Linked DNA regions of Nothobranchius furzeri. The protein of the gene in region 1 interacts with the protein of each later gene in a pairwise test. Links are inferred from orthologs where the notes say so. Each region holds a gene or a part of one and is shown on either strand. Other genes may lie near its edges.

Region 1 (16,570 bases):
GGTAAGTACACGAGTTACTTTTTTGACCAAGTAATTAGTAACTATAACTAATTACTTTTTTAAAGTAACGTTCCCAACACTGTTCACTAGCAACTCAACAACTAACGGTTGTTTGGCCGACGTCTGCTGATGCCATTTACCACTGAGTTACAACCAATCAGCACGAGTTAACCACAAGTCCCGCACAGTGACTCTATTGGGATGTTTCTGAGTATCTACCCCTGTACAGGTACTTGGTCGGTTCGTGATAAGACCTGAAAACTCTTTTCAGCTCAGCCGGGTTATATGGAGACATATGCACGCCACGGAGGTTCGGGAACATTTCCAAGAAGTTCCAAAAGTGAAAACAGGTCCAATTATTCTAAACATTTTGACCTTCATGTGCCGTTAGTGGCTTCCGTGAACTTATGAATGTTATATGAATCAAAACCCAAAAACAATATGAAAATAAATGTAGGAGCTGAATTTAATAAAGCCTTACTTGTAGGTGTGGATCAATTTCAAAAATAGTCTCTCCTCGCCTCATGTCTGTGATTAGCCAAGGGCCGCCAGCTCTGTACACACGCACGCACGCACGCACGCACGCACGCACGCACGCACACACACACACACACACACACACACACACACACACACACACACACACACACACACACACACACACACACACACACACACACACACACACACACACACACACACACACACACACACACACACACACACACACACACACACACACACACACACACACACACACACACACACACACACACACACACACACACCATTAGTATTAACTTGTCGCCAAACACAAAAAGTTAATAAGTGAACAAATAACCAAACACCTTACTCTCTGTTCACAACATACTCATGGAGATGGAATTTAAACACCTTCTACTAAAGCAGAACTCTTCTTCCATGTTCTTTCTTCTGCTCCACTCGGCTCAGGAACGTTTATATCAGTGTCTCAACTTGTTTATGGAAAAAGGGCAAAAGGTCTTATGTAATTATTCGCTAAATGAAAAGTAGACATGTCCTGGTTTTAAAGTGTTTTTTTTTTTACTCTTTACCGTTTCAACAAATGATACTGTTGATAGTTTCACTGATTTATCTAACAGTGGGATCTGCCAGACTTAAGAAAAGCAGTAGGGATCAATTACCACCCACGCCCACTTTACCGTTTGATGCCCAACAGCAGGTCAGACTCACCCAAAGAAACAGGAAACGTTTTTTGATCCAACGTATGGAGACTATCACTACAAACTGCTACAGAAACACAGCTAATTAATTCAGGCAGGTAACCTCATGTTCAGCTTCAATGCCCTGTCCCCCCTTTTTGGACAGAAGACATTTTTACAAATAATTATTTACACTAACGAGTGATTTTTCTAATGATCACAGATGGATAGAGTGATGTAAATGAAGCTCTGAGAGGTTGAACTTGGTGATTTCTCTCTAACCGACTGACTTTAACCTCACATGTATTTTTTTTTAAGTCGATACACTTTCTTATTTCCTGTGTTGACTAGTTTTGGTGGAAGTAAAATGCAATCTTCTCCATAAAAGCAACAAGTACAGTGTATATTTGCCACTTTAAAACCCAAAACACTGTTTATAAATGAACCTAAAAACCCTGTTTACAGAGTTTTACTCACACTCCGATTCCACGCATCAGCTCCAGGATTCCCTGGCCATTCCACTGTTGGGCCGCCTGCAGCTCCTCGGTACACACACCCACAATCTGCACACAGAGTGGAGAGGACTTCATAACATCTCTACAATCTATTTTAGTAAAAATACACTTCATACAAACTTTAGACCTGAAAGTACCCTGCTGTTCATATCCACACCTTCAGCCTAGCCTAGCAAGTGAGAGCAAAAGGTCCTTTTACTTATTTAGCTAACATCTAGGAAAAAAAACTCCAAGAAATTACAAGAAAATTAGTTGTCAACAATAATAAAGAGAAATCTTATTGAAAATTGACTGTTTAATCTATTTAATATGCTTAGATGAGATTTGCACCAAAAAAATAAACAAAAAGTAAAAAATAAAAATCAGAGAATCAGAATCTGTCCATAATCTACATGAGTGCCTTAATCAGCCGTCAGATGATCCAAAACTTAAAGGTCAGTCTGTTTTTCGGTGTATTTGAATACATCCTTATAAAGCAGCAATACCACTTGTAACACCATCAAACAGTACAGTACATACCAAATAAGTGGGAATTGTAAGTTTTTCTTCTTTCAAAACAAAGGAAGGAGGGACATATTGGTAACTACTATTTATCATCTGTGAGTGTGGGGTTGCCGTGTCTCCTGTGAGCTAATGCTGCAGCGCCGACAATTGTTATTCGATGATGGCCGGCAAAAAGCTCCAGTTGTTTAAAGTGGTTGCAGTAACCCAATTTTACCACAGGATATCATTTTTACTTCATTTCTACATAATGCACCTTTAAGCAACAGAACTTGTATGCAACTGAGAAAAATCAAACACACACAGATTGGACTTGATGTTTCCTCTCGTTTTATTTCCTCTTCTTCTTTAACAAAGGGAAGGTTTTGCCGACACTGGCAGGACCGTCACGTTCTGCCTCTGTCCAGCTTTGATTTAAATTCACTCTTTAAAACAGTTATAAGATCTGACTTTGTGGAAAGAAATTAAGGAAATGTGTCCTGGTTTCCATCCCATATGTGAACTCACCTGAAGAAAGCTCACTGTGCCAAAGGGAGTGTGAACTGGCTGCATCTGTGGGTCTTCTGTTAACAACATGTGTTGGATACGAGACTCACTGTTGTCCAGCGGACTGTGCCATGACACGTGGTCACCACTACAAAATGTGTTTTCTGCAGAAGACAGTAAAAAAAGAAAAGGCCATTTATTTCACTCATTTAAAATGATGCTGCCTCTTCTCTCTACAACACAAAACACGAACACATGTCAAGCACCACTGGCTCATTGCCTTTAGCCACAAGTAGAAAGCAGTGCCACTTTCCTTTGTTTCACTGTATGACTGCACAGAAATGCTGAAGAAGAGTTACAGTAACAGGAAAAGGGATGATACCGAGCTCCAGATGTAGAACAGAAAGCAAAAGAAACTACTTGGGAGGTCGTGACTGAGCACCCAGTCCAGACAAAGATAAAAGAGTCGGCGTTCATTTGGTCAAGGAAAATGTCCCCACAATTTGGAAATGTCCACATACTACAGGTTAAAGTCAAACTTTCCACTTAAACATATAAAGACAAGCGCACGTGCGCACACACACACACACACACACACACACACACACACACACACACACACACACACACACACACACACACACACACACACACACACACACACACACACACACACACACACACACACACACACACACACACACACACACACACACACACACACACACCTCGAAAATGGAGCGAACGGCCTTCTGCTTTTGCTTTGAGGCTTTATCAATAACCCCTCCCTGGTTAACCACATTTCTATTTACTACGTTATTTACTAACCAGAAGATTTACATAAAGTCAACATGTGTTTTGACTAGGGCTGGGGGTAAACGATTATTTTTAAAACGATTTTTCTGATGATTATTTTATCGAATAGTCGACTATTCTAATGACTATTTAGACAATTAATCTAATGATTATTTTTCTATTGCACAGTTAATAAAAACCTAAAAAATCTCTAATAAATTCCTCAGAAAAATTGATAAATTGTTACTGTAAGACAGAGATCACTAATAGGCGGACCTGGGTCCGGATCCGGACCGAAATGCTGTCTGGTGTGGACCCGAGCCTAATGCCAAAATAAAGTTCGCCTAATTTTATAACCGCTTCTGGCCGGTGCAGCTATTGCATTCTTTACGGTAGTATTCTAGCATCCACGAACACCCACAGGCCAATTGTGCGCGAGTTTAGTCAGACCACGTGACACCAACAAGCCAATAACATGTTTTATTCCTGCCAGAAAATACAGGCGATACGTAGCGAAAATAAACGGTTCAGACGCCGGAGAGAAGGAGAGCAGCGAAGAGCAGAAATTCGAACAGAGAAAACGAGAGATTCAGGCGGAGAGCGGTGGAAAGAAGGAGACATTCAGGCTAAGAGCAGCGACAAGGAGAGATTCAGGTGTAAAGGAGGAGGAATTCAGTTAGAGAAAAGGAAAGCGGCGACAGGCGACAAGGAGAGATTCAGGCGGGTGAGACGGAGAGAAGTAGAGAAAGCAGAAATGGCAGCCTCTAAAAAACGGAAAGTGGACAGCGAAAATAGAGCATTTAATCCAGAATGGACAGAGTCATTTGTCTTTGTTCTTCCCACTGGTGGCACAAAACCTGTTTGTCTCATATGTTCAGAAACAGTGGCACTTATTAAAAGTGGCAATGTGAAACGCCATTATGAGACAAAACACAAATGTTTTGAAGAAACATATCCCCTCAGATCAGAAGTAAGATCAGAGAAAATACGTAGTCTCAAAGCCCAATATGAACAGTCCACCAGGATCCTGAGCCACACGTTCACTGCTCAGCAACGAGCCCATGAGAGTTCCCTCAGAGTTTCTTGGATTTTGGGTCAGCACAAAAAACCATTTACTGATGGAGAGGTTGTCAAAGAGTGTATGACAGCAGTTGATGAAACACTGTTTGAAGGAAAAGAAAAACAAGAAGTTTGTGAAAAAATAAAGCAAATCCCCATATCAGCATCATCTGCTACAAAGAAAAGTGAAATACTGACTCAGGATGTTGTAGCCCAGCTAGATGAAGCCATACAGAAGGCACCATGTGTAGGTTTGGCTGTGGATGAGTCCACTGACGTGTGTGATAATGCTCAGCTGTTGGTTTATGTGAGGTTTTATTACGCAGAGCAGAAAGCATTCTATGAAGACCTGCTGGGTATTACTCCTCTTCAGACCAGCACAACAGGAGAGGACATCTACCTGGCCATTATGGAGATGTTGGCAAAGAGAGGAATTGAGCCTTCAAAAGTGATTTCAATAACTACAGATGGAGCCCCTGCTATGATAGGGAGAGAAAAGGGAGCTGTAACAAGAATGAAGAAAGACAACCCTGACCTCTTAACCTACCATTGCATTATTCATCAATCTGTCCTCTGTGCCTCCCTGTCAAGATGAGCATGCTGAGGTGATGACTTCAGTGATGAAAATGATCAACTTTCTTAGAGCGTCCTCTTCCTACCAGCATCGCATGCTTAGAGAATTCCTCAAAGAAGTTGATGCCAATGCTGATGATCTTCTGCTGCCCAACAATGTGAGATGGCTCAGCAAAGGCAGAGTTTTAGCACGCTTTTGGGCCATCAGGAGGGAAGTAGCATCTTTTTTGGCAGAGCTAAAACATCATAAGGCAACACAGTTGTCTACATTTCTATAAAATGAGAAGCAGATGGACAATGTTGCCTTTTTGGTTGATATAACTTCACATCTAAACGAACTGAACTTGAGGCTACAGGGCAAGGACAATTCCATTTGTGAACTAATGACAGCTGTCCGTGCCTTTCAGAGAAAACTTGAAATGTTCAAGGAGGACTTGCAGGAAGACTGTGTCCACTTCCCAGCAGTGCAGGAACAGGTTCAGGGACAGCGAGATGTCTCGTCGTTTGTTGTCTTCATTGATAAACTTATTGCTAACTTCAGCAATCGTTTTGATAGCTTCAGCATTGGCCAGCAGCTCACCATGTTCATTCAGAACCCATTCCTCATCACAGATGTCAGGAGCTTCTCAAAGGAAGCCACACAGCATTTTAAATGGGTCAATGCCAGGGATCTTCAGATGGAGTTAGTTGACCTCCAAGCAAACTTGGCCATGAAAGAACTGTCTGCCAGGACTGACCCGTCCTCATTCTGGCTCCAAATGGTTCCTGAGACAGCTTTCTCACATCTAAAGAAAGTAGCCTTGTACATCCTGACCATGTTTGGTTCCACCCACAACTGTGAGGCAGCGTTCTCCACAATGAACATTATAAAAAACAAATATCGTTCCAGGCTCACCAATGAGCATCTCCACACATGCATGAGGATGGCTCTGTCTCCATTCAAGCCCAGGTTCAAAATGTTGGCAGGACAAGCAAGAGCTCACTTCTCTCACTAAGTAAAAATGTGGAAAACATTAACCTAAATATATGTTCAGTTATTACATGTGTGCAAAGTCACATTTTTTAAAATCATTTTAAGACTTTTTAGTTCGCACGTGAAGAGGAAAAATGTAAAAAAATTAAGCTTTTTCTACATTTATTCTGAAGTTAGTAGTTTGTGAAGATTCAGTTGCCATGTGTTATTTTCTTGTTGACACTTTTTTCTACTTTTATTTAGTAAATGAGAGAACATTCCAAAGAAATCATTTACATGTTCAACACTTTAAGTGACAATAAATGTCATAAGTATTTGAATTACACTGAAGTATTTCTGATTTGATATGCAAATTAATAATGCAGATGTTGATAAAACTGCTAGGATACTTAAATACATGTCACACTATTGTAGGTCGGACATAATGATCTTTCGGACCTTGGGCTAAAAAAATTCTTTCTGACTGGACCTTTTTAAATAGTATTTGTATACCCCGCTGTAAGAGAATAAACATACAAACGCTCCCGGTGATTTTCTACATCTGCGATTGAGACGGAGCAGCGCATCTGACCCCGGAAGTTGTTGTCCGTTGCCGGGAGACGAAGGTGGGCAAAACGGGAAAGGAATCTAGTAGCGGACAGACATTGTTCCGGGTCTTATTTGGTGGAGATGTTAGTGAAGGTGGAGAAGAGGGCAAACTAGAGGAAAAACAAGCAAATTCCACCTCTATTTACAAACTCCTGTGGATGCAACAAGTGGACGTGGTACGTCGACTACCGGATCTGACATTGACAAATTTTTAGAATCGAGCCGTCGACGTCATCTAGGTTTCGCTACAGCCCTAATTTTTACAGAGTTAATTATTTTTAAAATATATTAAAACACAATAAAAGAGGTTTCTTTAAATACAAACAACTCCATCCTTCAGCATACTCTTCAAACTTCTGAATCAATTTCAAAGTGCTTCTACTAGTTTATAAATCACTCAATGGCATGGGGCCAAAATACATGTCGATCTCCTTCCTGTATATAGGGAGCCTAAGTCACTTCCGCATCATGGAAGAACGAAAAAATGAACGCAAGTCAACGGGGCTAAAAACGCAATTTGCTAATTCCGCTGGTTATGTGCTATGGATTTCACATATGATGTCAGTGAATTTTAAAGACACATTTTGATACCAAGAACACGCTTTTTTTTTTTGGGGGGGGGGGGGGGGGGGGTAATGATATTTTAGGTTTTGTGTGAAAATAAGTCCGGGACTACAGATGTGCTTCACGAAAGTGACGTCATCGAACCAGACACGGAGGAAACTGAGGGAAAATGGCTGTAAGTTCAGCGAACTTCCCACAGGACGAAAGAACCACCATAAATCTGGTCATTTGGTAAGTAGCAGCTACTTTGTGGAGAGGAGATTATGTGGTGATGTCACATATGCGACGTGCCGATTTCTAGTTTGAGGTCATGCTAATTACGAATTTTGACAAGCTGATAAATCTCAAAATACGTGACTGGCGTTGTCGAAACACCCATCATTACTTTTCATTTAAATTGCAGTACAACATATGTGCAATCCAGGGCGTAACGCAAAGCGGATTAGAAAATAGCGTTTTTAGCCCTGTTGACTTGCATTCATTTTTTTGTTCTTCCGGGGAACCATGATGCGGAAGTGACTTAGGCTCCCTATACGCCCAGCAGAGCTCTGAGATCCTTAGGAAACAGTCAGCTTGTAGAACTGTGGGTCAGAACCAAACAGGGTGAAGCTGCTTTTAGCTACTATGCTGCAAACAGATGGACCCAGCTTCTTTGTGACCTCAAATGTGCCCCAACTCTAGAAACTTTTAAATAAAAATCTTAAATTTTAATGTTCTCCCTATTGGAATGCACATTAAATTGCCACTGTGCATGAAATGTGCTATACAAATGAAACTGCCTTGACTTCTATTCAGCTATGATGTCAAAATACTGTAACTGCAAGCAGCATGCACAAAAAGCATGACCTTTAAATTTACAACATCCTGCTGTGGTGGCAAAACACAAACATGCAGTAGATGATCTATAAACTGTGGCTGAATCGATCAACACTCTCAGTTATCCTAGAGGATGCATGACTGAATAAAAACAATTCTTGAACATTAAAAGTTAATCAAAAAGAAAAAAGGCAAAAATAAATAAATAAAAAAACAAATTTTTTTCTCCAAGGTCAATCACTGCAGATTTGCTAAAAGATGACCATTTAATCTTACCTGACTGGAACACATAGCGAGCCAAGCCTTGCATGAGTTCAGCTGGCCACGTTGGAGGTGCCGTCTCTCCCGCCTCTCTTTTGAGTCTAAAAGTGAGCTCAAACCCAAACCCACTGGGTCCATCTGCTCCAGTAAATCTGCAAGAACGGTGAGGCAACACTGAGCATGAGCCAGTAAGATCAGTGGTTTTTGCATGTGGTGTTGAAGGTTTCACTGTAAAAGGTGTATAGTGCAAATATTTATCCGACTGACTGGTGACACCCCACTTTTTAACTAAATTAACTAGAAATTTACATATTTTTTACACAAAGTGGCTTGTCATATTAGAAAATAATAAAACTTTTCCTTCACTCACTCGTGAACACGATTGTCTCCATAAAGGTCACTCAGGCCAAAGCTAACATAGTGCCAATGCTCCTGGACGTCCTGGGCTGGACAGCCCATGTTCCTGTACATGCTGATGTAGTCTAAAGGGTCTGGTCCACCAAGCCTGTTAAAAGAGCAAAATGCAAACCATCAGTCATAGAGCACTTAGTTAGCATGTGGGGCGTAAAATTACTTGCTAGTTTTTGTTTTCATATTTAGTTCTTGCTTGACTTGTTTGATACTGGATAACAGATGTTAGCTGAAGCATCTAAAGTTTATTGAAAATATTGTTTAAATCATAACATCATCATCACAACATATAATATTATTCAAGCCTTCGTTTTTTTATAGCTTTTTTCCCTTTTTGAGCATTTGTTATGATGTGTAACCATGGCAACAAGCTAGTTTACAATCGGGAGCAGCTGATTAACATTGGAAAGGCTGAAATAATACCTCAACTGAAGCCACAAATCCCAAATGAGCTAAAACGCAAGAAGCGTGGGTGCAGAGCGGGAGCAAAACGGAAACGGAGAAAGAGGAAATTCAAACCATCTCTTCCATTGATCATAATGGGCAATGTGAGATCACTGGCCAACAAGATGGAGGTCCTTTCAACGACTCAGCCAGAGTTTCTGCAGTTTCGGAACCACTGGAGGAGATAATGCAAAGAAGGATTCTCCAGAGAATCAAGAAAATTATGGACAACCCTGAGCATTCTCTTCACAAGACTGTCCGACAACGGAAGAGTGTCTTCAGTCAGAGGCTTCTTCAGTTTCTCTGCAACAGTAATCACTAGTGGAGATCCTTCCTGCCAACAGCCATTGTAATATACAACAACTCTTTGATGACTTGATTATTATTATTATTCTGAGCTACTACAGCAATCAATTTCCCTCTGGGATTAATAAAGTATTTTTGAATTGAATTGTACTTCTAGGAATGGAAATATAAAATATTTGCTTTCTTTGATCTATTAAATGTCCCTGGCAACATTTTAAAAACTGCTTAAATATGAGTTTCCATCATAAATGGGTTAAGAATAAGACCTCTACCCTCAGCACAACTACTGAGCAAATATCAAATCCTATTTAAAACAGTCTAATGTGATAATGAAGATTGCATTTCATATTTTCTTGTTTTATACTGAAAAAACAACGTTATAGGTTGCCTCACCCCAATTTTCCTCTTTCCGGAGATTCTGGGGATTAAAGTGTAATACTTCATGTAGAGTTCAGGTGAAATCTACATATTATCCTAGATAGGTTTATTCTTCAAACACCATGCTAAAAGTATTACTGTAGAATTATAAGATACTGAATATTTGACAATAAATCAGTTAAGAATTATAACGTCAAATTTTCTGTATACGTATTATTTTATTAGGTTGTCTTTTGAATATTGCTGTGCTTGTATCGTGTTTTGTAAGGGACACATATAGCGTGAGCAGTTTTTTTTGGCCACACGATCGTTTAGAAAGTTAGCAAAACTGTTTACGTTAGCACGTAGGCTAAGCTAACTGAAGGCTAGCATTTAGCTAAAGCTAAATAAACGCATTCACAAACTTCACGCAGGCATAATTATACCAGCAAAAACAAAACATGTTACATACCAATACTTAACAATGGCAGTAACTTGCAGAGGGTTGGCCTGCTCGGGGTAAAGTCGCCGACATTCTCCATAGATAGCCTGTAGTCCCGGAGGAAACAGCGGCACCAGCCCGTGGGCTGGGGCACCACTGGTAGGCCGTACTTCATCCATGCCAGGGCCTCGAACAAGTCACTTTTTTCTATAAAGAAACAACGTATAATCCGTTTAGTTAACTTGTTCACCTACATGAATGCTTCACAAACGAATTGTGTAACCAGAAATAGATTACTGTGCTAAAACGTTGTTGGAGCCTGTTGCTCGTCCTGGTACACAAAATAGAGAAAAGGGAGCATTCAATTGTTCAACTATTGGTTGGGCCGGTGTAAACGTCATTGAGTGAATGGTGTTGTTAGCCAATGACAATGAAATATGGATTTAAACATGACTGTGATTGGCTGAGTGGTTGTAAGAAGGCGGGTATATGTTCAGGGTTGGGTCCTCATAATTCAGAAGTTTCTCAGGGGGCAGATGATAACATAATTTTAGAGTTTCATTTTTGAAAACATATGGTGTTAAAATACGCAGCAAAGTGTTTTCCATTGAAACGTCTGAGATGAAATTTCAAAAGACTAAAATAAATAAATAAATGAACTAATGTTACAGCTTAGATTTTAAGAAATATATAACTAAACTAATATAAAACTATGTTTCACAAGGTTATGCCAGGAAGTAAAACTTTTGTGAACAGCATTAATGGGCTGTTTTTTTCTAAAACTATGACTCATTCCTTATAAATAGTAAACTCAAACAATTGCATGTCTGGTTTTGTTTGGGTTCATGTAGTCTTTTTAAGAACTTGTTCTCTTCACATTTCTTTGTGCTTTGTAACCAACAAATCATCACAATACTTAAATAACTAAATCAAATATAAAACTGAAGTGAATGTGTCATGAAGGCCGGCTGCACTCACTGATATACATTTGGCAAAACCACCATTTAAAAAAACTACCACAACCATAAAGCTGGGCATTTGTTGAATTGCATTAAACAACAACGCCTAAATATCTGCTCCATATAGCATGGAACTATAAATAAGCTTGGGGTTTTACTTAATTATTGTCCAGAACTCAATGAAGACAACTGCATGATAATTTGTTCTTTATTAGTTGTTTTATTTTATAACATCAAGACAGTTACATACAAAAAATTAAATGAACATCATATAAACATACAGATGACATTCCGGGTCACAACAGTGATAATAAAATCACTTCTATATTCATGTACATCTATATCTGTTTCCTAAATCATTATTGTGTATAGGCTAATCTATTTTACAAAGTTCTGTAGACAGTATTGTGAAAAAAACACAGTATTAATGTGACGTTTCTTCACATTTATATTTTTGGTGCATTTTAATGTAGTTTACATATTTTACAAAGTTTCCACTGTGGCTCAACTATATAATAACTATATTGTTCTGGTACAAAAACAGAAGTAATTTTAAAAACTGTCGTGGATCACAGTGAAAGAAAAAAAATTTGAATTTTGATCATTATGGCCTGGGAACAGGAGGATTCTCAGGTTTACAGAGAACCCAACTATTACTGAGGGCGTGAGTAAAAACTGTAGGGAAACTTTCAGGCAATAGATTAAGAACAGAAAATATACGTACAGACTCGTCACTCTGAAAAGCTCAGCTTTGATATTGTGACGTGGCCGACCTATGATTGTGATGATTCCGATGGATGTTATGAGCATCAAGTTGATATCATCTGTTTCATATTTGATGGCTTTTGGGTTCAAATGAACAACAAAGAAATTCCATGTGTTTCAGAATGAGTGACATTCATGCATTTTTTCTTTTAAACTTGGGGAAATGAACCCTCTCAGACACTTAGTCAAAGCTTTTTCATATTTCTAAAATACAGTTAAATCACATATTCCACCCATTACCGCACATTTTGTCACAGCTGGCTCTAAAAAACTGTCAGTGAGCATCAGGAAGGGCACAGAGCAGCAGCCCATCATCTCTCTTCTTCATTACATGGGTCTTACATTCAGCTACACTTTGCACATCTGATCAAATGCTTAGTTAGTGTTAAAGTTGCTACAACAAATCAACATTTCAGTTATACTTAATTTAATCCAAACAATAATTTAGAATGAAAACATCAGAAAGTGACTTTTTTATGATTTAGACGAATCGTTACTCTAGGAAAGCAGAAAATTCATGTGTTTCTGCTTTTACACGGTCTCGACCACTGCTGCCCGGTGCTGACCCATTTGATAAACCAGAACCACGCCAAAAGAACTGAGCCCATAGATGACACCTGAAAATGCCACCATCTATGGAATTCAGTTCTCACAGCAGGGAACGTAACAAATTGACATCTCCAGATGCATCTTGAATGACATCAGCATCGGTAGACCAGCTGTTACCCTGTTGGATTGAAGAGAAAGTGTTTAACCCATACATAAGATTCAAATTTGCAGTTACAGCAAAAGTTAACGTTTAGACGGAAAGAGAGTGTAAAATATTGGACGAAACATGCTGAACATGGTGTGAAGTCACCCCATTTCTCAAGAAACCCAACATGATGAGACGATAAAGTCAGCTCTGCTTTTCCAGTGTAAAATTGAGCAAGAGACCACCGAACTGGTGACTAAACCTGATCTCCAACAGTTATTAATCAACAGTGGCATTTACAGCAACCTCTAGTAATCTGGATTACAGAAAAAAGTAGAAATAATGAGTTGTGACTCACCATTTTTAGATTTGGACAACCTCTGATTTTTTATTTATTTTATTTTTTTTTTATCCAAACTTAAAAAAAATTGCATCTATTAAAATGAAAGTCTATCCACCAAGCTCTCTGTTCAAGGAAACGCATAAAGTATTATCTTTACCTCCTGATAGGGTGTGATTACATACATACAGGTGGTAAATGTGTTATTAAGCCTAATAAACAAAAGTTGGATATTACTCTGGACTGTACTACATTGCACAGATTCCCTCCAGTCAGTACAAAAAAAAAAAAGAAAAAAAAAGAGAGAAATAAAAACATCTCATCCAAGGTCTGGAGTCGATATTTACAGCGACTGAGATAATTAGTCAATGTTATCTTGGAAGACTTTGGTTTACTTGTTAAAGCCGGTGCTCTGTTGGAGAACAGTTCGGTACAATGAACTTTCTAAGGAAGGCCACACCTGAACACATCCAGGAAACTCATATCTTTCTGTCAGTTGGACTGGGAAACAACCGGTTCTGCAGCCTGGACCAGTCTTCTTACAGGACAAGAAATATCCTAAGGAGGTATTAACTCAGACTCAAAGGCTATATAAAGTCTTTAATAGACACCTAATTTTTCATGGTCAGGAACTGCAAAAGAAAAAAGTGCTATTTGAACCACTTACCTGAGTCTGTCACTGAAGATTTGTATTTCCAGATCCAGGATCTGTCGGACCCTGCAATAAAAGGCAGATATTCCCCACCCTAAAACACACCTCAGCAACCACTTTCCATTCATCCACTGTCTGAACCCGCTTTTGTCCACGTAGGGTCGCGGGGGGGCTGGTGCCTATCTCCAGCGGTCAATGGGCAATCAGGCGGGGTACACCCTGGACAGAGAGCCAGTCCATCGCAGCCCAGCAGCCACTTTGTCAACAGAAAGTCATCTCAGAGCATTTTCCTATATCTCTTCCCACTTCAACTGCACGTTCGGCTCCTCCAAACCGTAAGGAAGGATGTGGCAGAATGTCTGACATTCAGAGCAAACAAGCTTATTTATTAAAGCCTCCCCAGTTTTTTTTACACACTCCCTCTATACGGTAAGCCTGACTGTCACTTCCCAGTAAGAAGGAAGCAGTGGGAGTGAAAAGCACGCCCCCTCGCAGTGAATCAACACATAATAGTTTCTGAGGAAAACCATCTGACTTGCCCTGCCCCCTGTTCCCATAAAGCAGGCAGGGGAAAGGCTGCGTACACTCAGGGAACCAGGAATTCCCCCGCAGGCCACAAACAGCTGTCTAGATGAGAGCTGATACGCTGGAAGTTTGCTAGGCCGTTTGTGCACACAGAAACTGTTTGGCGTGTTTAACCAGTGTTTATTACTTAAGTATATTTGCATAATAAGAAAATGGAAAATCTGTTCACACACACGCGTGGGTGTGAAAATGCATCGTCATGCTTGCGCTGCTGACTTAACGTTTCCTCGAGGAGGTTTGATGGGTGTTAAATATTGTTTTTCATCAAGTCAGCATGATGGTTTTGCGTTTTAGGGATGGGTTTTGAGTAATGTGGATATTTGCATATTAGCAATAGTCTAATGAAAGTCTGTTAGCTATTCAATCACAGTCAAACATGACGAAAAGCTTTTTTCACACCGTTCCATTGTTTCGACTGTAAACCCCCCCCCCCCCCCACTGATTTCATCGTCCTGCTGCATCTGCAAACCTTCAGCTCGAACTAGCCCAGACTTGATGCATTCTTCCTCCAAAAAAATCCCTGCTAGAATATTCCAGTGGACTTCCTTGTTCTGGGTGGAACAGGGATTCCAGGTGGTGTCGGAAAAAATAACAGCGTGGTTCCCTACTCAAACCGTCCTGTTTATGGGATGTATATACTTCTATCGTTTTGCTTTCCAAAAGGGTCCCATCTAGATTATATATCCAGTTGAAAAAGAGGTACAGAGACCCCACAGAAACCCACTATTGATGTGCAGTGGCGCTAGAATCCACTTTCAAACGACATCCTTAGGCTGGTGGGATAAGTTGCAATTGACATTTTGTGCTGGACTGCAGAAACAAGCCTGGCTTTCATGCTGGCGTTTGAACACGGGGGGAAAACACTCGAAAAGGTCACCGAGCCCATTTCCTTTCTTTTCTCCCCGTGCATCTAAAGACCTGCAGCAGCCCCTTTTCACCAGCACTTCAGTTACTGACATATTCAAATTTCTATAAAGGAAGCAAAAGACTGAGCAGGCGATGAAAGAGCAAAAACAGAAAGACTTTTATTCGTTTTTCCTTGTTCTCGGGTTAGGGTTACAATTAAAACCTCGTTTCCATATGGTAATTAATGAATAATCATTTCAATCCTGTTTAACAGATTTTGGGCTGTTTGAAGCGAAGCGCTACTACGTGTCTCTGAAGGCCTTCTTCACCATCCCACAGGTGACAGAGAGAGAAAACACCCCTCTGCTCCACAAATGTCTCAAACAGATGTAGCCCACCGCCGACACCAAAGTAGTGCGACTTGGTGGCGAGGTAGACCAGACCATCGGGTGCTAACAGTTTGTGGAGGGTCTCGTGCAAAGCAGGGTAGTATGCAGTGTTGTAGATGGTCTCTGAGGTGAATATTATGTCGAACTTGGGCTTTGGTTCTCGTTTAAGAACCAAAGGAAGAAATGTCCTCCAGTCACCAGAAAAGAAATAACATCTCTTGAGTAACTGGTGCCGAGAAATGTCAAGAGCTCTTTTCTTAGGAGGTGGATGGCCAGAGTTGACCCCCTCTTGACCTTTCTTCTCACTATCCTCTTTCACTTGAATCTTCCCTTTTCCCTTCCCTTTTTTGTCATCCTCACAGTCCACATCCTCGTCCTCTTGACAGTTTAGCATTACATTCGGAAGGGTCAGCTGCTCGATGACTGTACTGTTATAATCTTGGAAGTGGACCTGTCTGGCTCCTCTCTTCAGAGCCAGAATTCCCAACAGTCCAGCTCCGCAGCCCAAATCCAGAACCGCCTTGCCCCTGATCGTCTCTCCGTCTTTCTCAAGCAGCTCTAGTAGGTCATAAGTGCACTCCCACACCTTCAGGCCTCCCTCGTACATGCCAGAGATGAGATCAGACCTCTGCTCTGTGCTGTGAGAAAGAATTTTCTCCTCGTCTTTTCTCTCTGAGGCCGTCCTCTCAAAGATGGTCTCATTGAGGAAGTGCAGAGGAGGAAGAGCTCCAATTGCAACTGTTTCAAATACAACATCGATAGGAAGGAACTGTGGGTCAGGTGGTGGAAGGTGCTCTTTGGCTTCTTTTACTGGCCCCGCTGATACGTTAATGTCTTCTGTCTGCAAACACAAAGCAGTACGTGGTTATGACAGTGGGTTTCAGTCTGACAACAGCTCCACTTGATTAACATTTTACATTGAAGTCAAAATCAACACAGCCAACTAGCTTCTGCTCATCTCCCATGTGGTTACAGAAGAGATGTGGTATGAAGGCAGGGTTTATCTTTCTGGCAATCAAGCAATGTGACATCATGGCAAAAAAGAAAGGAGGCCAACCCAAAGTGTGT
Region 2 (16,486 bases), on another chromosome or scaffold:
ACGCCCATCGGCAGGATGGTGCATCGGGGAGCAGGATGCCCTCTTTCACCCATCCGTGTGAGCGTGAGCTGGATCGATAGGTGACAGACACGCCGCCACTCGGTCAACGCTCTGTCTCATCTTTTCTGTGCAAAACAAAGATAATATATGTCCCTCGCACTGACCCTCCTTGTTAGAAAGACAGCAGAGGATAATCAGAAGAGGACAAATGATGTGCTGCAGACCCCCTGCTGGGTGACATTTGACCTCCTGCGTACGAAGGACGCGGCAGCCTGTCTACCTGATGACTCTGATGCTGTGGAAATGTAGGTTGTGCACTTGGCGTGTGTCTCAACACTTTAGTCAACTGGAGATTTTTTTTTGCCCCTTTAAAAATAAATATACGGTACGTGGGCGTGTTCTGTTGAAGAAATGTCAGTAAAGTCCTTCTGTCTATTCGTCACTAATGGTGTGGAGCAGTGGGAGGCTAGGACACCTGCATCTGCTGCTTGATAATGAATATGATGAAGATGGATAATACTTTAGCCCTGTCTGGATCAACGCTCTCAGCGAGAGAGTGATTACCACAGTAATTGGCATCTATGGCGCCTGCCGCTGGAGATCGTTATGATGAGTCTGTCAATAAGATTTACTGAATTCATCCTGAGACAAGAGTTCAAATACAACCAGCGTGACTTTTTACACAGATGCCTGCAACTTTCTTTTTCTGTCTGTTTTAATGTCAGGCCTTCACAGCTCCAGGGCTCTTCAGATTAACAACGTATCTAATCTGATGGATTTCAGCAAGAAATGATGAAACCAAAGCAACAGGTCCTATGGTAGCTTGAGCAGTTGGGATAATATTTGATATTTTGCTAGAAATGAAATATTAGCTATTCTCCAACTGTCAGGGTGTTGGGTTTTCTTGTCATTACGTAGCATTTTTCAGTGTAATGCTAGTCACAAGTCACAGTTCAGTTCATGTTTCAGTTTTGGGTTCATGGTTTCATTTAACAAGAAAGAGAAACAAATGCAAACATCTATGTATTTGTTTCATTGAAATTTGGCCCATTTAGCTTTCTATACACCCATTTCTCATTGCATTGCTCACTGCTACAGATCATCCAACTGCTTGGTGTCTCAAAAGTCACCCAAACTAACCATATTTGGTTTTAGGGCGTTTTGATTTAGATAATAAAGTTCTGTACCCGCTCCTCCTCCACATCGAGAGGAGCCAGTTGAGGTGGCTCGGGCGTTAGTTAGGATGCCTCCTTGATGAGGTTTTCTGGGCACATCCAACCAGGAGGAGACCTAAAAGAAGACCCTGGACACGTTAGGCTACTGCCCCTGCGGTCCGACCCCGGATTAGAGGCCAAAAATGGATGGATGGATGGATGGATGGTTCTGTACCCTGTCATGTCAGTTAGAAAATAGTTTTTTTAAAGGGGAGTTGATATGAAAAACTCACCTTTTGCAATGTTTTGTGCTGCTATGTGGCTCTATGAACATTCTAAATGAGGAAAAAATATCAGACTGTTTTATTTTAGTGTTTGTGATGGAAAAATGGAGAAATTTGAATAGAACCAAAAACAGTGGCTGCTGCAGGAGCAGTGGCTCCTCTACAAGCCCCTCCCAGGTATCAGAGCTTCTTGGCTTATAGCGGCAAATGAGAGATGGGTAGGCATGGCCAGCAGCTTATTATCATAAAGTGGCAGAGTCCTGAAATGGCTCATTCTGGAAGGTACTGAAAATATCAAGAGTAAAACTGCTGAAATCAGACATGAGAGGGATTTAGTGAAAAAACCTTCATGAACATGAACTTGTATCGACCACTGGGCTATTATAAAAAAGTCAAAATATGTCCCCTTTAAATAAAAGAAAGGCTAATTTGTTTACATAGCACATTCCCTGCCTACACATTGGCCAGTCAACGAATAGAAATAACTGAAAACACAAAACAGGATATTTTAAAATCAAGTTTAAAAAGCAGAAACATGTATGTAAATATAAAGCAAGCACACTGTTCTGGTAGAGACCAGGGATTAACTCAGCTTACACATTTTTGGTCTCCAATGACAGTTCAGTTACACCACCTGTGCGCAAAGCAAATGTTTATATTTTGACATTTGGGTGTTTGTTCCTACATTCATGATTATTTAGTCATGTTTCTGTAGTTATGTTTCCATGTAGATTCATTATTGTCCTTGTCACTCAGCCTCTCACACCTGTTCCTCATCCATTTATGAACTCAGCTGCAAACACTTTGCAGTCGCCTCTTCCCTTCACATATATTCTCTGGTTTTTCTAGCTTGTTGCCAGGTCCACCAGTTATTGCCACTGTTGTGTTGCCATTTCCCTGAGACCCTCCCATGCTTCAGCCTTTGTCGATTTTCTTTATCAATCAAACTAAATTCACATTACCTCTCTGCCTCTAAGTCTGCAATATGGGACTCCAACAAATTATCATAGTATAAAAGATAAGTTTTCTATGACCTCAGGTTTAGGGGTGCAGTAGGGCTCAGGGAAAACCTTGAGTTTGAAATGTTTACAATGAATTTTGTCTTAAATTTTCATTGTTTTAAAGTGACAGTGTGTATTTTCCCAGGCGATAGGGGCAGTACATATCTAAATCATTGTAAGCAAGCAGTATTTTTTGTGTTCAAGTAAGACCTTACCAACAGATGGCCATTAGGGTCAAAAATCCCTGGGAACAAACCCTCCAACAAAATGACAAGCACATCAGACTCCCTTTCATCACTGGCAAAGAGCGATGAGGTAAATGTGTAAAACAACAATGGTTATGAATGGTTAAAGTTTTGTAACCGTTTGTTGCAAATCAGTAAATGCGTTTTGTCCTCACCGGCTCCCGTAGAAGAAAACATGGCATCTATTATGGCTTCACCTAGAGACTTAGAGCCACTTGCATGTATTTTACACTTGATTTTTATGGTTAGATGTTACAACGCTGCCGATATTTTTCTACTGGGCATCATTTCACTCATTTTCAACAACATTCAGATGGATATTTCCAGAGATTAACTGTAAAAATGACACATTGACACTTTGAAGCTAAAATCAAGTTTGATTGAAAAAGTTTTGTAAATGATTGTCTTCACTTGTTGCAAAAACTGTGTACAATGAGTATTGTCCAACATCAAAAGCCCTGCTAAGGAGGCCAGCCTTCATGCTTCACTATTTCTAGTTTGAAATATTTCAAAAGGATATTTATGAAGATCCCAGGGTGGTCATTACCAAGTTGCACCACTTTCTCCTTGTTGCGGTTTTCAGGGATTCCCACGGGGATGCCGGGCATCCTCTAGGTAGTGTCCTGCTGCAGAGTGGACGCAGCGACCAAGGAAGGGGGTTGCTGTTAATGACCATCTGCTCCGAGAGCAACCTCTTTAATGAAGACGGATGTTGGGAGGATCTGACTGGGGGGCTACAGGCAGGAGTCTAATGACACATTCTTCTCCGTCTGGAACATCTAGGTTGTCTTACATGATCTGACAGCTCTCATCGTCACACTGCACCTAATCAATCCAAACAAAATCCCTGAGCGGAACATAAGCCCCACAACCCTTTGCAAAACTATGTATCCCCAGAAGCAACATGCAAGACTAATCATACATTATTTTTATTTTGATCTGTGTTTTATGCTGTCCAATCACTGATGGAAACCTTTGGAGGTGATGTCAATTGGGCAGCTTTGGAGCGAATCCTCTGATTGTGTTCCAGCCTTCGGGCCTCGCTGTCCTTGATGCAATTCCAGAGGCGCGGCGTGAATAATATCAAAACGTGAACGAAGGAGCTTGCAGCACACTCACCCTTAGGCTTCATCCTGAGTGCGTGCTCAAATTATAACAAGCCTGTGGCATACCAGCAGATCTAAACATGCACGCTGTGGCGTCAGCACTCTTTTATTGGAGTCATCCTGTTGAAAAATACAGTAGAAAGGGACAGGAGACAGAGCCTGGAGGACAGGATGTAAACGTCTGGGCTCCCCGCTGTCCCCTCTTTGATTTTATCGTTCTCCGTTGAGATTATAAGCGACTCGGATTGATGAATTGAGTTGGAGCCAATCTCTCTCACACTCATCTTCATCTGGATGTTGGTACTGACGGTATAGAGGAAGATGGATGGACGTGGGACTTCTTCCCTCTGTATTTCATGTACAGATGATGAGCTGTGAATCAAAGGTCACATTATTTAGAACCCTCCAGGTTTGTACGTCTCACAAAACGTCAATTTTAGACCGCGAAGAGCAAAACAACATGAGTGATTTTGTTGTTTGTGAGACTTTTAATTCACTCTGGTCTATTGTGCAACTCTCGAACGTCCCAAGCATGAATATGCGAGGCGCTGCAGGCTAATGGGAGTCGTTACGATGAGGGATGGTACCAATAAATTGATATCTCCTACACTTACTGCAACAACCGCTCCCTACTTCTGCAGTTAAAAGGATTGACTCAGCCTTCGCTAACCTTGTGTTTAACTTGAAATGTCATTAGCAAATCAAAAGTAGATTAATTAATCACAGGTTCACTGTGGTGTGCATTAATGTAAGTGACCACTGTAATATAACTTAAAGAGAAATCACCCTTGATTTCTCATCTTGACACCACTTTGAATGCGTCGCTGCTTCCAGGATGGCTGAAGCTGTCAGGGAGAAAATGGATTCTATAAGTGGGGGAAGAGTCTGCTTCAGCATTAATTCTGCTACAAATGGAGCTGTTCGTTACTGGTCCACACCTACGTCTAAATTTATCTTGTCTTTTTTGTTGGCGATCCTGTTATCTTTTCTTCACAAATCCTTAAATGCGTTCTTCAACCTGTTGTTGCTCCGAGCATTGATGCATGACTCAGTAAAGAAGCTATTTCGGTTGTTCTGTCTCCAGCTCAGATGCTTCAACATCCTATTACTTTGTGACATTTAGAAAGGTGCAGAGGCTCGCTTAGATGAAGAAAAAAAAAGAGACTCCTTAAAGACAAGAAGCATTTGCTTTAATTATGTAAACAAGTGGCAGTCTTATATGTACAAACCTCCAAACCTCATTCTTTGACATCTAGAGAAGGTCTTTGTTCTTATTCTTTTTTTTTTTCTACATCATGAAATGTTCAGTGGCACCGTGCTGCCAAGAAAACAGCAGTGCCAAGCCATTAGTGTACTAACAGTGATCCCTGCTGGTGAGAGAGGGAACAGAGTGATCATGGTGAATTCAATTCAGGATGAAAGCAACGACCAGTGATCAAGCTAACTCTGCAGGAGGCAGTTGGGAAATATTTAGCAGTACTTTAATGTTGATTTCAACAAACATTTTTGTTTTCATTTAAAGTGCTGTTAAAAAGAAAATTCATGATTTCTGATGTTGTTGATTCATCAGACAAAGATAACTTAAGTAAATACAAAATGTTCTTTTTTAAATGCCATTTTGTTACTTCAGGATATAAAATGTCTCACTTGTTACATCATGAGTCAGCTGAGATTAACCACAATATATGGAAAGCTGTGTTCAGATTAAACAATAGTAAAGAGCTGGGGGACAAATATGACAACTATGAAGGGTTGTTGGGACAAAACGTTTGCTGATCAAAACAACACTGAGGTTAAAAACATCTTAATGATCTTCAAGACTTCTGCTTTCCCTTTACGTCTGATGTGACACTAGGAAGAACTTTACACTAACAGTCGAGCATGGTGGCGGTAGTGTGATGGTCTGAGGATGCTTTGATGCTTCAGGTACTGTAACTTGCTGTGATGGTGAATCCTTGAATTCTGTTTTCTACCAGAAAATCCTGACCTTTGACCTTAAAATAGTCATTCATGCTAGAGAACCCTCCAGTGTCGCTTAAACAAAGACTCTGTCATAACAAATGCTTTATTGTAGTTTTACAACCATTTAGCACGTTTAAGGCTCGAATACATGTTTTTGTTTTTTTACTTTGAGGTTTGGATGACCTTTATAAGGAAATCATCACATGAACATTTGCTTTTTTGAATTCCCTCAGGTTATCGTTGTCTGATTACTTTGTTGATCTGAAACATTTAAATGTGTCAAATAAGCAAAAACAGAATACATTTGGATGGGGCCAAATACTTTTTACAGCTCTGCAGTTAAACTAAAACAATACAACACATAGCAAAATCCCTGTGCCCAGTATTATGTCCCTGCTGTGATTATGCCTGTATGCTCATTTCTCCAGTAGCCAGATACCTCTCAGGAAAAATGATTGGCTTTATTTTTATATCCTCTGACAAACTTAAAGTTCACTTCTAGTACAGATTGTTGAGGCACAGGCTCTGCAAAACCGTCCCTGTCTGTAAACATTCTGGTTTCCATGCCATCCTGGAGCATCATCCACAGACAAACACTTCAGCAACAAATAAAAAAGGATCCAAACAATGGGAGGTGTGGAGTGTTGGAGGGGGAGGAAGAGGGGAAACAGGTGGAGGAGCAGATGAGGGTAAGGGTAATTTACAAATCCATTTTCCAAAAACAAACTGGGACTGCTTGATGGCAACAAAATGGGAAAAACAAGAGTAATTGTGAATTTTAATCAGCTTATTGTGATTCAATAAACAATGTCATTGTCCTATACAAAAAAGGATTTTCATGGTTTGTCATCGTTGAAATTTTCAGTGCAGCCGTTTCTCTACTAGGACACCAGCTTTATCTCTGGTAGCTTCAAGTAACCACTGATTGTTTGTTTTTTTAAGCCAGAGCTTTAACATTTATCTCAGTGATTATTGGGTAGAAACTTGACCAGTTTTATATTTGACACCACCCTGCAGCCCTCTGCTGACCAAAAACCGCACTGGATAGTTTTTTGGAGCGGGTAGGTTTTTCTAGGGGGGGCGCTCTTTACCTGCACAAATCTCAAAACGTGAACGAAGCTGTTAGCTGTAATGCTATTGGTTAGCATTTTCGGTCCACCAATCGTCAATAAGAAATTTGTTTTTCCTGTTGGCATCATGGCGGAGCCTGGAAATAAAAGTAAGAGAGTGATGTCTTTGAAGCAAAAAGCTAAAACCTGAATGAACATCAGCGCTGCCTACACTAGTTTGAGGGAACTAAAGGAGGCTAAAAAAAACACGGACTGATGGTGACCTGGCTTTGTTGCAAATGGACTTGGAAGTAATAATATGTTTAAAATTATAAAATAAATAATATTATATCACTTTACTTTGTGGTTTATTTAAGTCTTAGTTGGTTCATGTTAATGTTAGTTTGTTGTTAGTGCTAGCTACAACAGTGTGCTGCAGGGATGTTTATGACAGTTGTAATTCCACTTTCAACCAGTAAGGCAGGAACAGTGTTACTTTAAAGCTGGACTCTGAAATATTACACTGTGTAATAAAATACAGGATCATTAAAAGTTTTTTTAATATAAATAAGTTACATTTAGGGGAAAAATTGCAGATCCAGTTTTAATACTTGATCAAATGAAGCGTGGTGTAATCCACCTGTGCAGGTGTAATGTGGGTTACATCATCTAGACTCTGGTTCTTCCTGGTTGTTTTTGTTAATAATCAAAACCCACAAGAAGAAACTTGTTGGACTAAAAGTCCAACTAAAGGTCAAGAACATGAATCTGACATCACTAAACTTCGTTTTTTCTTTTGTTCTTTGTAGAACAACATCTGTGTTGATGTCTCGCAGAGAGTTATAATTGGCCTCAGTGTTAAAAAAAATCCAGGTGTGGGATGGATTATTTCTCTTTTTATCAGATGCTGCTCATCTGACTGTACAATTTGTATGCCATGCTCAGGGACTGGACAAAAAAGGAAAGAAAGATTGTTAGAAGACTATCAGCAAACCTGAAGAACTATTGATCATAACCACTCTAAACGATTACAAGAAATGTGACTTCTTGAAAGCGATCTATAAAAATTGTTGGTGTTTTAAAAGGTTTTTACAAAACTGAGATGTCAGCAAATCAATTTAATGCCACTGCACACTTCATCGAACATGTCAAAGTTCAGTTTGTGCTCCCTGTGTCACGTTGCGGGTGTAGGAGTGTATGGACCATGTGTGGTGGCGCAGATCAGGAGGTAAAGATGCAGGCTTCAGATAAAGTAAAATGGTTTTAATGGTGGAATGGGAACGAACAGCACAAGACAACGATGACAAACAACCACAATGATCTGACAAAGACTGATACAAGGAGGGAGGTGTAAATACACAGGGCAAATGAGGAGCACATGGGCAGGTAAACAAGGGGCAGGTCAAAACAATAAAGACTAATCAAGGGCAGGAGAGAGACACAGTCAGGGAGGCAGGGGCAGACCGTGACACCCTGTTAATTATGAAACATCTTTTGTCATCTCGCTAATTTAACACACCAGATTTTAAATTATAATTCAATTGTTTGGTGGGGTTTTTTTTCTGACTGAACGTTTAATTTTTTTTTCTCTCCACAGAATCGCTGCTGTCGCTCTTTACTAAAATCACACCATCTTACACTGAATCAGGCCACTTTATTAGGTACCCCTATTGCTCACTAAAACAAATTGCTAACTGGATCCATGGCAGTAAGTCAATGCTTTGACGCATCCAGACATGAGGACGACACTTTCAAGTTCAAGCGCCAAACATCAGAATGAAGTGAAAACGGGGACGAAGGTGACTTTCAACATGGTGCTGGGTCTCACAGCTGTAAAGATGCAAAATAAGTGAGTCAACAATTCGAAAAGCATTCCTAAAACTGGACAAAAAGAGAGTGGGAAGTCTTGATTCAGCTGCAGCATTCCGTAGTTATTTCATCCCCTCTGCAGTAAGAGTGTTTAACTCCTCAGTTTACCTGGTACTGGCATTATCCTGTTACACAATAACATCAATGCAATGCAATTTTCATAGGTGTTCAACATTGTGTACTGCATAAATGTTAACGTAGATGTAAATTAGAATGCCTGTGCCCCTTATGCTGCATAGTTCTGAAAACCCAAGTTCTATTTTTATTCGTTGATTTTAGTGGTTGAAGGTGACAATAATAACTCATTGCCTTTGGTGAATGTTCTGCTGTAGCAGGTTTCCCCACTGGGATTAATAAATTCTATTCTATTCTATTCTATTCAGATGGTTGGGTCAGAATTGGGTGTTATCAAAATGAAAGCATGGATCCATCTTGCCTTGTATCAACACTTCAGGCTGCTGCCGGTGTTGTCATGGTGTGGGGGAGATGTTTCGTGCCCCCTTTGGACCCTTTAGTACCACCTGAGCATGGTTTAGACACCACAGCCTACCTGAATATTGTTGCATGGGTGTAGAACTGATAAATCTGCTGCACCTGTGTGATGCCTTTATGGAGCAATTCGATTGTTCAACAAATAATTAAAGCTGTTCTGTAGCAAAACGGGGTTTAGTCCTAAGAAAATTTATACTTGCATTTTATATATTAATATTTAGCATCTCAGACATTTTTTATGACTTTATGTTTTATTTTTGTTTTGATCTATGTGAAGCACTTTGTAATTCTATGTCTGAGATAAGTGCTATATAAATAAAATTTTCTTACTTACTTACGTTTTAATGTTTATGTCAAATGCATCTCCAACTTTGATTGAGATTCTAATTTATTTTTGCAGTTTGTAAAGGATTCAATTTGCTGAAGTAAATTATTATTATCATTATTATTCATAGTAGTAGTAATAATAATAATAATAATAATGTTGTTGTTGTTGTTGTTGGTTTTCTTTGTATTGAGTGGGAAAATCTGGTTGTGTTCATGCAAAATTTTGAAAGAATTATATTTAATTCATTATTATTTTCAGGTAAACACTTGCGTGCCAACAGTTCTAGTCGCATGAGTCGCGCGCTCACTTACTGTAAAGTCACGCGCACAAACGCACACAGCTGGAAACGGCGCGTGACCGGTAAACTCGCAAAAGCATCCTTAATAATTTACTCGTAAGCTGCACTTGGTTTTGAATGATGTAATTCTCAAGCAGCCGTGCCAAGGGCGAAAGTGTAACCGGGAAGAAGGGCGACCAAAAAAAAAGTTCCTGAATGAGAGAGCAGGGAAGCTGGGGAGCGGAGAGCCGCCTGCTCTCAGACTTGTACCAAAGTTTCAACAACTCTATGTTAAAGTCGCAGCTCCGATGTGATGTGGAAACGGTAAAAGGTGAGTTCACGCGCCATGGACGAAGTGAAACTGGCGTTTTTTTTTTTAATTTTTATTTGTTTGCTGTTAACGTTTAGTGGTTAAACTGAGCAGATAGTTGGCATCCTGATAATTATGATCCCATAAAATTATTTAACATTTAAAATTTACCTTATATTATAGTTAAGACAATGTATTCAGAAAAAATAGATAGATAGATACCAATAGATAGATAGATAGATAGATAGATAGATAGATAGATAGATAGATAGATAGATAGATAGATAGATAGATAGATAGTGGTCCTGAAGCTGCACTGCAGCACCAGATCATCACAGTACCACCACCATGTTTGGCTGCAGCTATGTTCTTTTTCTGAAATAAGGAGCCCAAGTCATGGCCAGCTTCTTCCGGTTAATTCTATTGTCAAAAATGATAAAAGTTTGATATGTGCCATGGATTTTAACATATGATGTCCGTGTATTTTTAAAGACATGTTTTGATGCAAAGGAAGTGAAGTGCTCGTTTTTGATAGTCGGCAAAAATTATTTCAGGTTTTATGTGAAAAATTGACTTCTGATTTGTAGTCACTTTAATTACGGACCTTTACAAGCTAATAAATCTCAAATAACATGAAAGACGTTGTCGAAACACAACTTTAAACTATACTTTTATTTATCTAGCACCTTACAGACATAGAATATGCCACCAAGGTGCTGTACAGACATAATAAAACTGATAAAACAACATAAAAGAAGCACAAAAACACAATAAGACAAATAAAATGAGAACGGGAGAAAGCTAACAACACAGAGCTAACACAGAGGTAAAAGCCAGATCATCCCTGATCAACAGAAGATGCTTGTTTCTTTGGATCCGACACTGAGAAGGCCCTATCCCCACTCATCCTCAAACGAGACCTTGGTAGAAACAAACAGATTTATTTATCGTTTTAATTGAAGCACAACTTGCGTGTGATTCAAGCAAAGCAGACCTGAAAATAACTATTTTAGCCTTATTCACTTACATGAGCCGACCTGAAAGGGAGGAGTTAGGCTCCCCACACAGAGTTAGGTTTAGCCCAAGTGTACAGGGAATGAAACAGTATTGGGGATGGTTTTCTGGGGGCAAATGTGAGACAGGCCTTTGAGTTCTCCAACTATCTTTGTCTGATATTAACATATGTTTGCTGATTTAAGAAAAATTAAGCCATTTGGCTCATGTTTGTTCCTTAACACTTAATATCATAAGTAATTTTGTATTTAATAAGGTTATATTTGTTTGTTGAACTGAAACAGTGATGTGTGACATAAAGGAATATACTTGATAAATCTGTCAAGGGTTTCTAGTTGGAATTTTCCCGATGCCTAATTATGGTCTGTTTATCTTTTTCTAGGTGTTTACCTTGGATTCAGTTTCTTTTCACAGCAAACTTTGAAAACACAATAACCCTGCCGCTCACTCATGAGCACATACCCCCTGAGGAATTTACTTCAACCATGAGTGGAAAGGGCTGCCAGCTCCTAGTGTCTCCTTGCAATATGTCCCCATCACTAAGTATCATTAGAGGACACCAGTCCCAATCCATCAGGATGCCCGTGTCTTCTCCTCAACAAGCCAGACTTTACTCATCCACAGGGAGGACAGAGAAAGTGAAAAGAGGAACTGACCAAACTTTTACATCAGGGAAACAAAGCGGAGGCCCTGTTGTCCTGCCTGCCCTGAGCTTCCGGGGACAGGTGTTGAACAACAGACAACATCCAAATGAGTCCACTACAACACAGATGCAACAACCTGCTCAGCATTCCCTAAAAACAACAGCAACCACTGCCAAACCAAGAAGACACAGCTCCTCCATCCACAGCTTTACAGGTAAAGGCATCACCCAGGAAAAGTTAAGAAAATCCAGCAGAACCAGTTGTTAGGAGGAAACCGAAGCTCTGCTCTAACAGCCGTTTGAATTACACGTTAACGTAGTCACTCATTCATTGAAAGCACATTTCACCCAAAAGAAATCAGAAGTTAAAGTAATTTACTATGATCTCACTTCACTGTCATCTTGCTAAACCATTTATTTTGTTTACAGATAGTTTATCAGGCATAAAATCCGAACCTAAAAGTTCTACAGTCATGTGGTGGGAGGTGAAAACCGTGTAAATGATTAACGGAGCAGAGTATCTCGGCTCTGTTTAGGTTAATGAGGAAAATGAATCCACCATCCAGTTTGTAAGCTTTGCGTTTGAGTTAGTTCTGTTTTAAATGTGGATAAAAGCTTTTGTTCTGCTTTCACTTGTATATTTTTTTTACTAAATAATTGGCTTGTGTCCAGCAGATTCTGCAGCGCCTGGGTCCGATGGGGGTGTATGCAGTGAGGCAGCTGGTGCTAGCCAAACGCTGACCTGTAGTTTTCTGTCAGGCCAGCAATACCCCGCGGTGCCTCAGCTCCCATCGTATCATAGCATGCCGGTTCCGAACACCGATGCCAGGTGAGCACCGTCAGTGGGTCCATGTGATGGTGCGCTTGCAAAAAGTTCCTGAAAATAAAATAAAAATGATCTCTTTCAGGTCATTACTGTCCAGAGAGTCCCTGGCATCAACTACCCTCAGCCTGTTTGAAACACAGTCAGTGTTTAGTGGCAAACATGACTGGCCATATGGTTACCGTGTGCTTCCTCCCCTGGGAGTAACTCAGAGCTCTACCCAGGCCAATGAGGGTGGCGAACAGTTCAGCCTGTCTCCTGGAACTGCCATGTCGGGCACGACCGTATCGGGTGGCACAAGCACCTCTGCCTCCCTTCCCTCGTACCTATTTGCAGCTGAGGCTGGAAGCCCCCAACAATCTCGTGCAAAGAAGAGAGCCCTCTCCACGTCGCCTTTGTCTGATGTCATGGGTATTGATTTCAATGCCATCATACGCACCTCGCCAACCTCCCTTGTGGCCTATGTCAATGGTTCCCGCAGCTCTCCATCCTCCCACTGCACTCTCTCACCAGTTCAGTCTGAAGGATATGGTCACTTCTTGGGGGTGAGAGGTCGCTGTATACCCCAGAACCATCCCTGCAGCATAGCCAGCTTCTCACAAGCCTTGGCCCCACAGTCAGAGTGTGGCCGTTTGCAGATGCTTGAAGAGGGACTGGGTCTGGAAGGCCAGATGGCAAACATGATGGTGGAGCAGCAGTGCCTTCCAGACAAAGGAGGGATCCTGGAGACGACTTCAGGCAGCTGCAGCCAAACTTTCAACAACATTCTCCCACCTCTAATGTTAGAGCCAACGCTGTTGGACACTATACAAGAGGCTGCTACTCCACAAGGACCACCACCACCGTACCACTCACACCAACACATAAAAATCTCCAAACATCCCTTCAAAATTAAGGCTTCTTCTCAGAACCCTGTCTCAGGCCCCATGCTTCCACACAGGCACGGAGTTGGGTTTTTACCCCAGATTCCGATGCTGGAGGAGGAGGAAGGTGAGGTGGAGGACTATGGCACCCATTGCTGCAGGTGGTTGGACTGCAGCACGGTTTGTGACCAAAAGGAGGAGCTGGTAAGGCACATAGAGAAGGTGCACGTGGACCAGCAAAAGGCTGAGGATTTCACGTGCTACTGGGTGGGATGTCCACGCAAACTCAAGCCATTCAACGCCCGATACAAACTTCTTATCCACATGAGGGTTCATTCAGGAGAGAAACCCAACAAATGCTCGGTACAACTTGCACACAAGTCTCTTTTAGTCCTTCCTTCTGAATTCAGAAGCTTGCTCTCTAAGTTCTTTTGTACGTCCGTTCTGTGTTTAACTTTATAATCCATTACTTTGTTCTTTTTTTACACAGTTTAGTAAAAAATTATTTTTCAACCTGACATGTTTCGACTAATGGCTCTGGTCATCATCAGAGATCGCCGGTGTTGGTGGCGTCACTTCCGTTCATCTGCGGACAGCAGAGGACGATGTCGCCCTCTACTGCCCGCAAGAAGCCCACAAGAAGCATAAAGTACAATAAAGAAAACAGCCGTAACCGACCACTGCACAAAGGAAAACCATTCAGTGGACTGGGACAGTACACGGATCATAAACACAGAACAACAAAAATACAAAAGATGGATCAAAGAAGTGATAGAAATATGGAGACTTACACACAAAACCATGAACAGAGACGATGGAGTATTCACATTGGACCACGCATGAGACAGTGCCATCAGCAAGGAGGACATTGACATCGTCCTCTGCTGTCTGCGGATAAATGGAAGGAACGCTACTAACACCGGCGATCTCTGATGATGACTAGAGGCGTCAGTTGAAACATGTCAGGTAAAAAACTAATTTTTTTACTAAACCGCACAAAAAAAAGAACAAAGTAATGGGTTGCTGTCTAAGTTTTTCTGTCTTGAGTTTCTTTCCTCCAAATGCAAATATAGCAAAAGTCCCTTTCACTCTGATGACATTTTTTCTACTTGAAAGTGAAATGGACGACTAAATGCCTTCAAAGCAGACGCATGATGAATGGTGGAGCTAAGTTTGAATTGGTTTGTGCCATTCAAGGCCACAGTATCGAGATGAAGAGTTTAATACCGCAGGCAGCCAAAAGAACAGCCTTTGTCAGGGTAAACGCCTTCATGTGCAATGAGATTTAGCCAAGGTTTGGATCAAATATGGCCTCCCTCTCTTTTTAACTTAAGCCATGGTGCAATTAGCAGAGCTCTGTGACAACTGGCATGAGAATTACCTCAATGATATAGTTGTTAAATAAGCACAAAAAGGGGTCTAGCACTTTGTATTTGGCATGGCACAATGATCCTTTAGTAGCTGTTGGAGCTGTCAGCAGCCACGGCTTCACCAAGTCTGAAAAACTTGGCTGTAGTTCTAGAAAGGTGATGCCACAGTAATCTAGTACTTTACTGTTTACCTTTTTTGGCCTGGAGGATGGATTTTATTCAGGATGCCAAACTGCTCTTTCTCAAAAGATTTGTTACTATCTTTTAATGCTTATTACGACTGTGCTTATGTGCAACCTTGGAGCTAGAGATTGGGGAAAATGCATCCTTTGAAATAAATAAAAATTAAAAGCCACCACATGTGCTCAAGAAAATAAGGTAAATTACTTCCTTCTTTTATGGTTTCTGAAAAAATATTTTAAAGGCCGCTGTTGTTTTTGTTTACAAACCTCTGATGCTTAACTTGTTGGGAGTTTCTTGGAAAAGTTTTCTTCCAGTCACTCGTCTATGAAGATCACAGTTTTGAAAGTTATTCCATTGCACACCACTTCTCTAGACTTTCCTAAATCTTCCTGAAGGAGTTTGGTTTTGCAGCCAGGGGTGTGTAATTCTTAAAGGAATTCTCCCTGAAGGATTTGTTGGTCATCCACATCCTAATGTGACTTCCATTACTTCAAAATCTACAGAGTAAACATAAACTAAAATTTTTTTACAGCCTTCTGATGTTTTGTGGGCACAATTGATCTGTTGCATGGCCACTTATTCACTCAAAGGACGTTGGAACCTTTCAGAGTTATTTTACAGTCTTTCAGATCAGTGACGTAGAAGTCGGTCTAGCATTTATTGAGTGGTTTGATCAAACCTCTCTTACGGATGGGTTCAGGGTTAGAAGAAACAGAATCTGCACTATAACGTTTTTATTGATCACATAGTTTTCTTTCTGTTCCTTGTTGCCTCTGAGGAAGCATGTGAGACTTGGCTGAGTAATTAACAAACACACTCCATGTTGGTGCTTTCACCGAGATAATTATTAACTTCATGCATACCTGCAGTCGACCTTCTGCTCCAAAATACTCACTTATTACCTGAAGCCAGCTCTGTTGCCATGGTGCTGTATCGTTCTCTGGATTCATCTGACAGTGGAAGATTTAAGGGAACAACTAGAAACAAGAAGTAAAACTCATACTTATTGTTCTTTTTAGAAATATTTAGAGTAATAAAAAAAACTTGAACAATATTCTTATTACGCTTTCATTTTTATATATATTTATTTAACTCAAGATTAGCCAAATTCCAGGGTTCTGGACTTTTTTCTCTCTTTACTCAAACAGTTTTAATTCAGTTGAATAAGATTGAGGATGAGTTATAAACTCAAAGGTAAAAAAATGGATGAGTGGGTGGAAACAGAAAATGTAAAAGCCGTTTTTCCTCTCTTGTTACACGCTGAACATAAGGGACAGGTCCAGACTTGTCTCTATATGTCTCCATATCACACTTCATAAATTTGGATACAGCACACCATTTGTGTGCAACTGCAATTTATACATTAAAGAGCAAGCTCACTGAGAAACCACAAATTCTTTTTTTAAATGAAGAGTCACTCTGAGTTTAACATGCAGGCTGAATGTGAAAATAGTCTTCTACCCCTATTTCCTGCTTTAGCTTCTGACAGAAAAGAGAAGGAAAATGCTAGGTT

Evidence for each region.
Region 2: the proteins of sufu (region 1) and glis3 interact in binary tests that used the Homo sapiens proteins (3 or more experiments, as listed by UniProt). The link is inferred for Nothobranchius furzeri from reciprocal best matches to the Homo sapiens genes SUFU and GLIS3.

What each region holds. Positions count from the first base shown.
Region 1 is NC_091752.1:22,189,888-22,206,457, forward strand, and holds the start of sufu (suppressor of fused homolog), read right to left. Parts: upstream 10,651-16,570; 5' UTR 10,570-10,650; exon of another isoform or gene 10,480-10,569; 5' UTR 10,452-10,479; coding exon 10,303-10,451; intron 9,343-10,302; exon of another isoform or gene 9,243-9,342; intron 8,818-9,242; coding exon 8,683-8,817; intron 8,465-8,682; coding exon 8,328-8,464; intron 5,183-8,327; exon of another isoform or gene 5,133-5,182; coding exon of another isoform or gene 4,199-5,132; intron 4,133-4,198; coding exon of another isoform or gene 3,954-4,132; exon of another isoform or gene 3,753-3,953; intron 2,848-3,752; coding exon 2,705-2,847; intron 1,745-2,704; coding exon 1,659-1,744; intron 555-1,658; coding exon 482-554; intron 1-481. Other genes in the region: SCAN domain-containing protein 3-like, read left to right, coding at 3,954-4,132, 4,199-5,132; mettl18 (histidine protein methyltransferase 1 homolog), read right to left, coding at 15,381-16,343. UniProt on the Homo sapiens protein: Negative regulator in the hedgehog/smoothened signaling pathway. Down-regulates GLI1-mediated transactivation of target genes. Down-regulates GLI2-mediated transactivation of target genes. Part of a corepressor complex that acts on DNA-bound GLI1.
Region 2 is NC_091746.1:53,232,696-53,249,181, forward strand, and holds the start of glis3 (zinc finger protein GLIS3), read left to right. Parts: upstream 1-9,581; 5' UTR 9,582-10,098; intron 10,099-11,473; 5' UTR 11,474-11,576; coding exon 11,577-11,949; intron 11,950-12,409; coding exon 12,410-12,563; intron 12,564-12,642; coding exon 12,643-13,783; intron 13,784-16,486. UniProt on the Homo sapiens protein: Acts both as a repressor and an activator of transcription. Binds to the consensus sequence 5'-GACCACCCAC-3'.